2 linked regions of the Arabidopsis thaliana genome follow. The protein of the gene in region 1 interacts with the protein of each later gene in a pairwise test. Each region holds a gene or a part of one and is shown on either strand. Other genes may lie near its edges.

Region 1 (6,673 bases):
ATTTTAAGAAAAGCACAAAAAGGATTAAGGATAATAGAAGAACAGTGTCCTAACTTAAAGCTTCAGAGTCCATATTATCACTCCATATTTAGGGACACATATTTCAACTTTTTACACTCCACCATAGTTAGGTATGTGAGCCTAACAAAGTTCTCAATCCACAAAGGAACTTCCTCGATCCCTGTTTGGTTTAGACAGAGACATGAGATGTTGCTTGAGATATCTGGAAAACTCTTCAACTTTGAACATCCACTAAGATCAATTCAGATATTTGAAGTTAGCACCAGTGGGAAGAGACTCTACATTTTTCCTTTTCATCAATTCTAAAAGTCTTCACCTTTTACCAAAACTTCTGAACACTAAAAGGACAGAGGAGACTCTCAAAGTTTTATTGAGCTCTCATATCCTTAAACCGGAAAGAACCACATAATCTTCACTACTAATAGAATCAGGAGATAAAGGCCAAGAGGAGAGTGAAGGAGTCATCACAAGACAAACAATAAATAGCAGTCTGAATATAATTTAATTGTGAAGCTTGCAAACATTATTAGTGTCCAAAAAACAGCACTTGTTTTCATGTTTACTGAAATAGTAATGCTTATGTTGTTCCGTTTAAAGAACATGTGATGATCGCACAGAGAAGAGAGAATCACTGAAATAGTGTTGAAAAAAGAGAATGTTACATACCTATGATGAGAAAAGACAAAGACAAAGCGCACTGTGGAGGAATCAGAACTTAGCCTGCATTGTAAACCGCATGATCAAGACTAGTTACCGGTACACAGTGTTCCTGACTTCTTCAACGTTGTCCTTATCTGTCAACATTTCACATTTATGTTCATGTACTTGTTAAAAGACCCTAATAAGCTACCTACTTGATGTTGCTACTATAGAGTGAAGCAATTTGGTGTATACCTCCTGCATCAATCATGATACAATAGTGACATTGGAAACCTCTATGGAAAGAGAAAGTGCATGTGCTGCTAAATACTATCCAACTAACCATAAACAAGTTGGAGATAATTCAGCTTATTATAACATATAACTGGTGTTTCACTACGGAACACATGTGCTTAGTTCTACTTATACAACTAACACACACAGAATGCTTATGCAGCCCACATAGAGCTACTTCTTACCTCTCTCTCTTTCTCACTGTAAAATAAAAATGAAGGAATTAAAAATATAGAATAAACATAGTTTTAAACTAATTTGGAAATACATTTGTCTAACATTAAAATAATTTATACCAATAAGTTTATACTTAGTTACTTGCTAAATCAAATAAAGTGATGATTAGTGATTACATATGCCTATGATTACAAACAAGTGTAACTATGATTTATGCTTCGAACCCAATCATTTTGAGACGTTAGAAAGGGGTAATTTGGGGTCTTCAAACTTCCTTCTTGAATTTGTCTATTTTATACTCAAGTCCTCGGATGGGCTGTTCTGAAATCACTATAGTTGCATGTGTGCAATAACCCGGCCCATAAAAATTAATGCCAATTGTATTATTCCATTAGCCCATTAAGTCATCAATCATTACCACTAAATCTGCTATAAGATTAGCTTCTCTACCTCTAAAGTCTAACCAAAAAGAAAGTCGAAGATATCTTCATCGTTTGCATGTAATCTCCTTTACATGACCATGAAGTCCTTCTACCCATTATGTTTTGGGATTGCATTAATTAAGAACAGAATAGCACTCTCCCCAAAAGAATTCTTTGGAGCCGCAATTATTTAAGCAAAACATTGTCCGTGGATGATTCTTTACGAACGGGCCGTGATAGTTGTGCCAAGGAACATCTCTGTGGGAGAATTCAAAGCTAGTAGGATTCAAGCTCAAATGGACTTATTAAGCTAGGTAGAAATAATAGAAAGATTGAAATGAAATCGCTTATAAAAACTTTATTATGATGCAATTAATAGAAAAGAAAAAAGACTTTAACTTGTCAACAAGAATACAATGATTCAAAATTGATATTTTTATAAGGGGTTTGTGCAAAAAAAAATCATAATTAAGTCGCTAATTTTTTCAACTTTACCATTAATCTCTACAAAATACATAATAATCCTATAAAATACAAAATAAGACGCAATATAGCCCTATACATATATTGTAAATGTTTCTATGATCACATACATTTGCTTTTTAAAATTGTGAAAGTAGAGTTGGACTCCTCGTCTCGAAGATTTTAATTTGATATATTATTTATCAAAATTTTAAAAATTTAACTATAACAAAAAAATGAAGCTATATTGCATATTATTTTTGATTTCATACAATTATTTTGCATTTTTTTAGAGATAGATGATAAATTTGTAAAAATTGACGTCTTTGAAAGTTATTTTTGCACAAAATTCCTTTTATAAAGAAAAAGAAAAAAATTTGTTTTGAGACAACTCTTAAGATTACCTTACAATACATTGATATTTAAAAACAAATTTATATGAATCTCTAGTAGCTATCACCCTAGTTACATTGGCTAATGGATTTCTCATAATAGTTTTGGATCCTCTAATAATCTCTAGTTTTGGATCCTCTAATAATCTCTAGTATATGAAGGACGGAATTTCGATCATTGCTCTCAACTTGTTCATCAAAATCTAGCAAAATTGACATTTTCCGTCGAATATCACCCATATAAACTTAACCATAGTGGAAACCTAAAAATTCACCCCCAACTTTTACAAGAAAGTGATCTTTCTCATTCCTTCATTTGAAAGGTTTGACCTTAACGTTTTTGTTGTAGTCGAAGGAGTATCTTTCACAACATTGCTGATCTTAGAACAAATGTAACCCATTATTACCATAAGACTTATTTTTTCTTTTTCAGTTTTGACTTGTGCCTTTATGTTTAAGACACTAGTAGCCACATTTATTACGCTTTTTCACCGCAAAATTTAACACGCACTCTCTTTGTCGATCCCACAAACTCCATCTACCTAACCATGGTTAAAAATCATCAAACCTTGGTTCCCTTGATTAAAATATCCCTAAATCCAAGTCTCTTTATTATTTCATTTAAAATCATAAATTTAGTTTAATACAATTGTCCTTTTTCAAAATATTATTTCTTTATTTGCTTCAGCAACAGTCGTCATAGTCATCATATCATTTTCTTCTTTTCCTCCTCTAAACGAATATTACCAATAAAAAATCAAGTGGAAAATATGTAATATTAAAAAATCTCCAACAGCTTAAGAAGTTAGAACCTTTTTACTTATCTTTATTTCTTCTTCTTCTTCATTTTTCTATTCACATTCTCTGAAACTCATACCATATTTTCAAAGCTCTTAACCCAAAAACCCTAAGTCTTTTTTTTCTTCAAATTATTGGTTATATTAATGTTTTAAGCTATGATGGATATGACTCCTACAATAACAACAACAACAACACCAACTCCTAAATCACCCGAACCCGAATCCGAAACTCCGACCCGGATCCAACCGGCGAAACCCATTTCCTTTAGCAACGGCATCATCAAACGCCACCACCACCACCACCATCCTCTCCTCTTTACTTACAAAGAATGTCTCAAAAACCACGCGGCGGCTTTAGGTGGTCACGCTCTCGACGGTTGCGGCGAATTCATGCCGTCTCCGTCGTCAATCTCCTCCGATCCAACTTCTCTCAAATGTGCTGCTTGTGGCTGCCACCGTAATTTCCACCGCCGTGATCCAGATAACAACAACGACTCTTCCCAAATCCCTCCTCCTCCTTCCACCGCCGTAGAGTATCAACCTCACCACCGTCATCATCCACCACCACCACCACCTCCTCCACCACCACGTAGTCCTAACTCAGCTTCTCCTCCACCAATCTCTTCCTCTTACATGCTCTTATCTCTCTCCGGTACTAATAACAACAACAACAACTTAGCTTCTTTCTCCGATCTTAACTTCTCCGCCGGAAACAACCACCACCACCACCACCAACATACTCTTCACGGATCTCGTAAAAGATTCCGAACAAAATTCAGCCAGTTTCAGAAAGAGAAGATGCATGAATTCGCCGAACGTGTTGGTTGGAAGATGCAAAAACGTGACGAAGACGATGTTCGTGATTTTTGCCGGCAGATCGGAGTTGATAAAAGTGTTCTCAAAGTTTGGATGCATAACAACAAAAACACCTTTAACCGCCGTGATATCGCCGGAAACGAGATCCGGCAAATCGATAACGGCGGAGGAAACCACACTCCGATTCTCGCCGGCGAGATTAATAACCATAACAATGGACACCACGGTGTCGGAGGAGGAGGAGAGCTTCACCAGAGTGTTAGTAGCGGCGGTGGTGGCGGAGGATTTGATAGTGATAGCGGCGGAGCTAACGGTGGTAACGTTAACGGATCATCGTCGTCGTGAAGTTAAAGATGAGAGTGTCAGGTTAATAAGAAGCTTAGAGTAAGCTTATTCGTATTATCATCGTTAATAACTTTCTATTAAATATTAATTAAGATCTTTAGCTTTGTTTGTTTTTGCATTATTATTAGTTTTGATTTAATGTTCTTTACCACGTCGGTGTCTCGCTCGATGAGGAATAATACCATAACAATGTTCGAATTATATCATTTGTTGTAAACATTTCTATTAATGAACCCTGAAATGTGACTAAGTACTCCAATAAATGGTACACTTTTGATGTGGTAATCTTGTTTCGGATGAAGAAACAAAAAGATTAATAAACGAGTGAAACATGATTAGTTACTATAAATATTCATTTGGTTTCTTATCTTTTAAAGTACTCTTCTTAATTTTATTTGCAACCAAACTAGATGTAGTAGGTGTACTTTTTTTCTTTCTTAGATCCTCTTAATTTTATTTTATTTTTTTATTCTATATCAAATGATTAGCCATCATTAGTATATTAGTAGCATTGTTGTTAACACCCAGTGTTTTCACGTCCGACCCGGACCGTCCGGTCCGACCGGTTGAACCGTGACCCGAACACTTTTCCGGTTTGGGTTTAGTATTAAAATCCAACAAGTTCAAAACCGAAAAAACCCACAAAAACTCATCATTAACCCGTGACCCGATGAACCAGTTGAACTGGCCGGATGTGGGTTTTAAAAAATTCTCTTGATTTTGGAATAAAATATGAGATTTTAGACTTTATTCAATCAATTTTTAGATATTTTTCAGTTCTTAAACCCATTTGATGTTTAAGATTTTGATGAAGACTTCACAATGCCGCCTTAAAAAATGAATCGAATGGTGAGTGAGATATCCGATATTAGTTGTGTGAATTCACGATGTTTTATTAGTTTATTTCCATCATTGCTGATTTTTTACTATATTTGTTACGGTATTAGACATTTAGTTGGATTTAAAAAATTTCATCACTTTATTATTATTGTTTGATTATATATTTATATTTTTTTTTGATGTAAATGATTATTTTTGTTTTAAAATTTATAAGAACTCTAAAAACTCTAAAATCTCTATTAATATTAAATTTATTAAATAAATTTTAATCAATTGACCCGTAGTCTAATCTAATTAACCCGATGATCCAATGATCCAAAAGGTAGTCCGATTCACTGGGTTGGTTTTAAAAATATTGTTAACACCATTTCCTCTTTAATCTATGTCATTGTCATGGATTCATTCCGATAACCCATTTTTGGTATATATGCTTAGTTTTGATTATTCTCATTTGAGAAGTACAAACCAGCATATACCTTTTTATACTTAGAGATTGAATTAGTACAATTCATACTAAAGTTTGATATAACTATTATTATATCACATCGTAGCATCCATAAAATCTATACAACTTCTAAATAAGGGTTTAAGGCGTGGCACTAACACAAATGATTGAGTTGATGAATAATTTAACAATAACTTTCCATTTGGGGAAACGTAGGGATGAGTACTGATATGTCGGCTCTCACAATAAAGAATGAGATTAGGATATTATGGGTATCTCCCATACGGGTTTGTTACAATTATTTAAGCAATTCATTACTACTATTTCTTTATTTAATTTATATAACGCATTTAGTCAAGTCACAAATATCTTTCCGTATTATCTTGGTGGGGACAAAACTTTTGCACAAGCTGAGGTTATGGCCCTAACTGCCATATACCATGTGCACCACTTGTTAATTAATAGTATTATTTATTTTTGTATCAATTTAGCCATCAATTCACATTATCGCAAATAAAACAAAATTAGCCATAGTATAATTTCAACTTTTTTTCTTTCTAATTTATAAGAAAAATACATATATTTAGAACCGAAAATAAAAAATATGAGACTAAACAAGAAATTAAATAGAGAATTATATGTAACCTCAAAGTTAGAATGTATTATGTATAATATAATGAGTCTATCGGTAATTCCAGTATTTTGTAGGTACAAAATTGATCGGTAATTTCTTAATTTTTTTGGTTCAAAATAAATCCGCAATTTTTAGGAGGTAATTTATATTTTCTAGCTTTAAAATATAAAGACAATAAGTCTATCACCTTTTCAGTCGAAAATAGATTAGACATATATACTTTACTATCTTCCCAAAAAAAAAAAAAAAAAGAGTACATAACTATAGTCAGTTGTTTTATTGAAATAAGAAGTAATATTTTATTGAGTTACATTGTGAACTGCAAGAAAACAAATAATAAATGAATCATAAGTATATAATTATAATTTGCCCCCAAAAAGAGTACA
Region 2 (6,730 bases), on another chromosome or scaffold:
TTTAAGTTCTACAAATTTTTTGATTTGGAACGTTTTTCCTTCAAATATTGGATACAGTAAAACCTCTATAAATTAATAATGTTCGGACTGCAAAATTTTATTAATTTAGAGGGGTTTTAATTTATCGATAATTTAATATTTATTAATTAATAGAAAATTTTTCCTAATTTAGTAACTTTTCAAAAATTTGTATAAGATTTTTTTTCATTATAGAAAATATCTTTCAAGAATCAATTACAAGTAAAAAATAATATCATATTTAGAAAATAACACCAAAAGTTTTTGATATAGTAAAATACTAAAACTATATTTCAAATAAGGATAAATACAAATTTAAGCAAACAAATATTAGAATTATATTTCAAAGAAATTTCTTACATATAATGTATATATATAATTGATACATTTAAATAATTATTAATTTATGATATTGATGAGACCATATATTTATATAGGATTTTCAAAAAAATTATTATCTTATTAATTTATCGATTTGTGTCACTTTTTATACTGATCCCAACTCGGAACCAAAAACATTTCTTAATTTATAGAGATTATTAATTTATCGAGTATTAATTTATAGAGGTTTTACTAGAGTTTATACTTTAGAGGATGGGATTATGATCAGTGTTAATTGATGAATACAAAATTTAAAAAGTTTAGTATGTTTTATTGCAAGTTTATGCATATACGATCATGTTGAATTTCAAACGAACAAATTATTATCTTATTATATGTTTGGATTTGAAACTGCAATATATATATATATATATATATATATATTTTAAAGATTCATTTATAGTAAGATTGTTTTAGGGATAGTATAATAAGAATGATTAAATAATCTTGCATTTGAGAGAGATCAATGTATGACCTAGACAAAAACGATGATTCGTCTTCAAGTGAAAACTATTAGACCACTATCACTTGGTTAAATTAAATTAAAAGTATCATAAACTAGAGATTTCTTCATGATAATGTTGTTTGTATCTTCCAAATCAATCACAAACTATATATAGTATCATAAACTCGAGATGTCTTTAATCATTGTCTTGTAATTCTCATCTTTTTTAATAAAGAATTTATTTTGTTTGTAGTGAAATTTGTCTCGATTTTTCTCTCTTCTTTGTTTTCAGCTTCTTTTCTTGAGAATTTTTTCTTTATTCATTCAGATTTTAAAACTTTTGTTTCATATTCATAACACATATATATAGTTAAATAAGATATTGATCCGCAGTCGGACATATATAATCCGAAAAGTTTTCCAAATTTGCGTTGCCATGACGCCCATGCCAGATTTTAAGTCTACAAGTATGCAAACCAATAAGTAATGTCGATCGATTACACAATTTTTACTTCCGTTTTCCCTCCTATATATGACAAAACCAACCAACTCTAGTGATTAAGTACCATACACACCTAATGATAAAAATTAAAATAAAATAATGCAATTTCTTTTTGTGGTAGAAAAAATAATTCCACAAACCTCCTCACCCTTTTTCACCAGTCAAACTAATTCATAAGCAAAAAACAAGTAAAAAAAAAAATACTATATATGAAGTACCCGAGTATATTTAAATAAGTTGAGAAAAGAAGTACTAGATGATAGTATGAGATATGGATTTATCAAAGGGAAGCGGGGAAAGTGGCGGAAGAAGAGAAGATTTCGTCAAGTGTCCCGTTCATAGAGTCTCTGCATTGAAAGTCTTGTTGGATTGACATAATCTCTGCTTCGTTCATAGAAAGTTGAGGGAAATCTTGGAGTTGAAGAGGAGGATGATATGGAAGCTGATGAGAATAGTTTGAGAAAAGATGATCATGATCGTCCAGAAGAGAAGATGAGAAATGAAGAGCAAATATGGATGAGCTGTTTGCTTCGTCTAAAAGGACCCCTTGAGTTAGCTCTGATGAAGATGTCTCCGCGGATGCTCTTTTCAAGCTCTCGTCTTCAATATAATTACCATCACATTTTCTCCACTTCTTCTCCTTTTCTTCTTCCTCTTCTTTTCCTACACTAGTGCTCTCTTCTTCTGCTTCTTCTTCTTCCCCTTTTCTCTTTGGAATTTGTATGTTCTTCTTAAACACTCGGCACAATGCATACGACTCCTGTTTTAGATCAACATTAATATTAGTCGATATGGTTTATCAAAAAAAAAAAAATTAGATCAGAAATGAATATAGATATATATGTTAATAGAAGTTTGTGCATGGGAAATAATTTACCTTCAAGGAGGAGGAAGGAGCGTGCGTGAGACGATATTCATGCATGACCCAATTAGTACGAAGGCCATGAGGAGCCCTTCCTCTATAATAAACCAGTGTCTTCTTCATTCCCATCTTCATCTTCTTTGATTCTACTGTACGATCTTTCCCCGTGGCCTTCCAGTAACCCGCTCGGGTCGCACGGTTCGTCCTAGAGCCATTTGGATACTTCTTATCCCTTGTGCTGTAAAAGTACCATTCCATGTCGTTTCCCGGCAAAAATGACTTTTCTGTTCCGCGTATTATCCAAATAAATAACTCATAAAACCTCCAATATCATATGTATGAATGCATCATGACCAATATATGTAATCTATAACGTCAGATTGACATAAACAAGCTGAACCATATATAGAGAGAGATATAAAGAGTTGGATCGTACCAGGCAAGTCCCATGGCTCGCATTTATAAAGATCAACTTCTGGGATGATCTCGAGCTCAATGGCTTGGCCGTTGACCTTCCTATCAAGATAGTAAGCCACCAGTTCTTCATCAGTGGGATGAAACCTGAATCCTGGAGGCAAACTCATGGGCGCCATTCAAAGTGTATGCGTTAGAAAACGAGAGAGAAAGAGATGAGAGAGATTAATTAAAGTGATTAGGATGTTCGTACGACATATGAAGGTGACTATATATAATTAAAAAGATGAGACTCTGAAGAAGATATGATATGGGAATGTGTAAAAGTATGCCATGGGATTGGCATCTTCTGAGATTAATATTTTGTCTTACTTTGGGTTGCTTTTTGGTCAGTGTTTGTCATGATACTCATCACACATATTTTCTAAAACCAATATATATATTTTAAATAAAAACCTAACTCTGGCTTTTGAAGATTCTGCAAGTGTGAAAACCCTAGTAGGAGGAGAGACGGAAAAAGCTTTAGCAAGAAGGCCCCATCTCACAAATACTCACATATATGAATGTATATGCTTATAATTCCGGTTAGACCTTAACGTGGGTCATGAATCATTATAGAGGGATTTTTATAACGTTTGCTTTAAACCAAAAATGAAGGCTTTTTATGATTCAACAGTTTAGGGGACCCATCTCTTCTTCTCAAACCAAATCTACCTGGCGACACCTAAACACTCGGCTTTTTCTTTTCTTTTTTTTTCGGTTTGACAGTTTTGTTATATTGTTTTATGTTGTTATGGTCTTATAATAAGAATACTTATAAATTGAATTCATATATATGATTAAAAAATGGGAGAATAAAAAAGCAGGAGGCATCCAAGTCGACTTTGGCTTTAGTGTTGGGAGGCTTCTTTAGTCCCTTTTACATATGGATTAAAGACGTTGTTCGGCTCTTTTACATCATTACTCCCACACAATCTTTGACTCTCTTTCTCTCGGCCCTTCAATTTTACTAACTTCCGGTCAAATCTCTTTTGCCTCGACTCTCGGCCTCGATCCAAAAGATAAATTAAAAAAATAAGGACATCTTCATTCTTCACATGTATGATATATATAACTCATGTCATATATTAGATGTCTCGTTTACATGGTTTTTTTTCGTTTGCTAATATATATAATTCACATGTAGACGAAGAACATTGTAAACGGAATTTAACAGAATGAAGTAATCAAACGTTTTATGTAAGGAAATGATCAAATACTGAGGGAGTCCACAAGTTGCGACATATATAAAACTCCTCCATTCTTATAAAGTATAATATTCAAACTTCAAGTAAGTAACTCTCCCTTTTCCGTGAGAAAGAAATAACAATAACATTTTAGGGAAGCTTTAAGATGTGGTCACCAATAACTTAGGGAGAGAGAGAGAGAGTGACAGATACAAAAAACAAAAGATAGCAACTGAAAAATATTTTGGCGAAAGATGCTTTAACAGTTTAACTTATCAAACGACAACAACAAGACATGCCCCAATTGTTTCACCACTTTGTTTTTCTTGGTCACAAATCGAGTCTAAGTCTATATGAACAAGTAATTAATGTGAGTACTATATATAAAAAAAAATGTGACTATATATATAAATGTTGTATCACAAATGCAAAAGGAATGTGGATTAATTAATTAATAAAGACAACGAGGAAGCTAACATGCAAGCCTAACTAAAGACATGCAACCTTTGATACGATCTAAGGGGAAGCGAATAAAGCTAATTAAGATCTAAGCATCTTATCTTATCAACCCTTTTATATTTCCATTTCACATGTATCAAGTACCTATACTCTTTCTCAAGCTTATAGTATTGATATCTAGAGTATCAAATAAACATTAATTAATTAGACGTAACACAATAGTGACATTATTAAATGAATAGTAAACAAACTTTACGTGTATATATATCCATGACGAAATTGGCAAAGGCGGGACTCTATGGGGGAATCATGATAATACATACATACGATATACATGTTGACATGTATCATGTATCATGATAATACATACATCATCCCTTTTTTGTTGGTTTGTTAATAAAATGATCATACATCATCTTAAACATCAACATCAATCACAATTCTTCTAAAAGAGAAGAAGAGTCTTGTTCAGAAAAAGTAGCATCTGATTCCCTACATGTCGGTTTCCAAAACATATTTTTTTTCCATCTCATATTAGTTTGTGCTAAACAAACTGATCCAAGGAAAAAAGAAAAGCCTTTAAATAATACAAGTTGGAATCCCTGTGTCTCTAGAGATTCTTGCTTTCATGTTTTTTCACGCATCTCAATTATAGCAGAAGAACAATGTCACTGTCCAAAAACATTTGCGTTATTTGCCTTTTGCTTTTCTCCATGCATTAAATCTCATTTCTACCCTTGTTAAAGTGGTCACACTCATTACTCTTTTTAATATACTAATCCTACAGGACCACCTCGTGATTGTTATCTCAAATTTTGATTAATTATTCAATCAATTAGCCAAAGCAGATCTTCTTCAATTTTAAGATTTTGATGATTACTGTTAAAGCTGACTATCACTGCGGGGAATTCAAAGATGATGCTAGTATACAAAAAGAGAAGCATGGTTTCAAATTGCAGAATCAGGCCCATATATAAGTGGGCTTGATTATTTGGGCTTTTGGAAGAGTGTGGCCCAACATAGAGATATAGAGCTGTTATCGTCTGTCTTTCATGGCGGAGCAGAGGTGATCGTTTCACTATTCAATTTCACTCGTCGATCATTACCAACCTCTGCGGGCAAAGATGGAATTCGAGAAGATCAAGGTGATCAATCCCGTTGTTGAAATGGATGGTAAGTGTTCGAACAGTCAATTAGCTCAAATCTATGATTACGATTATGGGTTTCTCGTTACTCTGATTGATTGATTTGCTTATATTGGAGTATATGTGATCGGCTCTGTTCCGGGTTTTTCTTTTCTTCTATATGTTATAGTTTTATGAAATAAATTCAGAAACTTGACTCTTTATTTATTCTCTGTGCACAAGCAGGAGACGAAATGACTCGAGTTATCTGGAAATTCATCAAAGACAAGGTAAAAATCTTAACTTTTTTTTAAATCTTTAATCACAGATTGAATTCTTTTTGTGATTAAAATCTTGAGAATTTTGCAGCTTATTTTCCCTTTCCTGGAGCTGGATATCAAATACTTTGATCTTGGACTGCCTAACCGCGATTTCACTGATGATAAGGTTACTATAGAGACTGCTGAAGCTACTTTAAAGTATGTCGTCTTTACATTTTATACTTAGATATCATATTCTCCATGCTTTCTGCTTCTAGTGTTGAGGTTGTTCTGTGAATAAAGCTTGTTCATGGCTATTGGTTTCAGAATATATTGTCTGCCTTAAAGTTTTTTTCTTTTCTTTTCTTGTGTGAAGGTATAATGTGGCTATTAAGTGTGCGACGATTACTCCGGGTATGTATTCTTAAACCTTTGCAATTTTTAATTTAAAAGTGTGCTTCTTTCACTTACTAACAACAGTTTTTGCTTTCAACGACAGATGAAGCTCGTGTTAGGGAGTTCGGCTTAAAGAAAATGTGGAGGAGTCCTAATGGAACTATAAGGAACATTTTAAACGGTCAGTTTCTTCGCCAAAAAAGGGGGCAATTCCTTCTTCAATTCCTAAGCTCTAAGATCATGTTGTTATTTTTATGCAGGCACAGTTTTCAGGGAACCTATCATTTGCAGAAACATCCCTCGTCTTGTTCCAGGTTTGTCAATGGCTGCTCTTTTTGTATGAGTTAGCCATTTTCTGTACCTTTAACATGTAGAGCAAAACAAATCCCTCTGATTTCATTTCCTCAGGATGGACGAAGCCAATCTGTATTGGAAGGCATGCTTTTGGTGATCAGTATAGAGCCACTGATCTCATTGTCAATGAACCAGGAAAACTGAAACTAGTTTTTGGTAATCTCCTCCTCCCGTTCTGGATCTGTCTAACCCTTCAATTAAATTGTTCATTATAGAGAATAATGGGGGATCATTGTCATTGAATTCACCTACCTGTGGAAGTTTATTTATACACGTTAAAAATCATATC

The links.
Region 2: the proteins of HB23 (region 1) and NAC020 interact in a two-hybrid assay, tested with the Arabidopsis thaliana proteins (one study listed by BioGRID).

Annotation. Positions count from the first base shown.
Region 1 is NC_003076.8:15,908,180-15,914,852, forward strand, and holds HB23 (homeobox protein 23), read left to right. Parts: upstream 1-3,170; 5' UTR 3,171-3,363; coding exon 3,364-4,368; 3' UTR 4,369-4,681; downstream 4,682-6,673. UniProt on the Arabidopsis thaliana protein: Putative transcription factor. Probably involved in establishing polarity during leaf development through the gibberellic acid (GA) signaling pathway.
Region 2 is NC_003070.9:20,278,089-20,284,818, forward strand, and holds NAC020 (NAC domain containing protein 20), read right to left. Parts: upstream 2,865-6,730; 5' UTR 2,802-2,864; coding exon 2,645-2,801; intron 2,493-2,644; coding exon 2,224-2,492; intron 2,107-2,223; coding exon 1,627-2,106; 3' UTR 1,419-1,626; downstream 1-1,418. Other genes in the region: ICDH (isocitrate dehydrogenase), read left to right, coding at 5,432-5,480, 5,678-5,721, 5,801-5,910, 6,068-6,105, 6,191-6,268, 6,348-6,401, 6,496-6,597.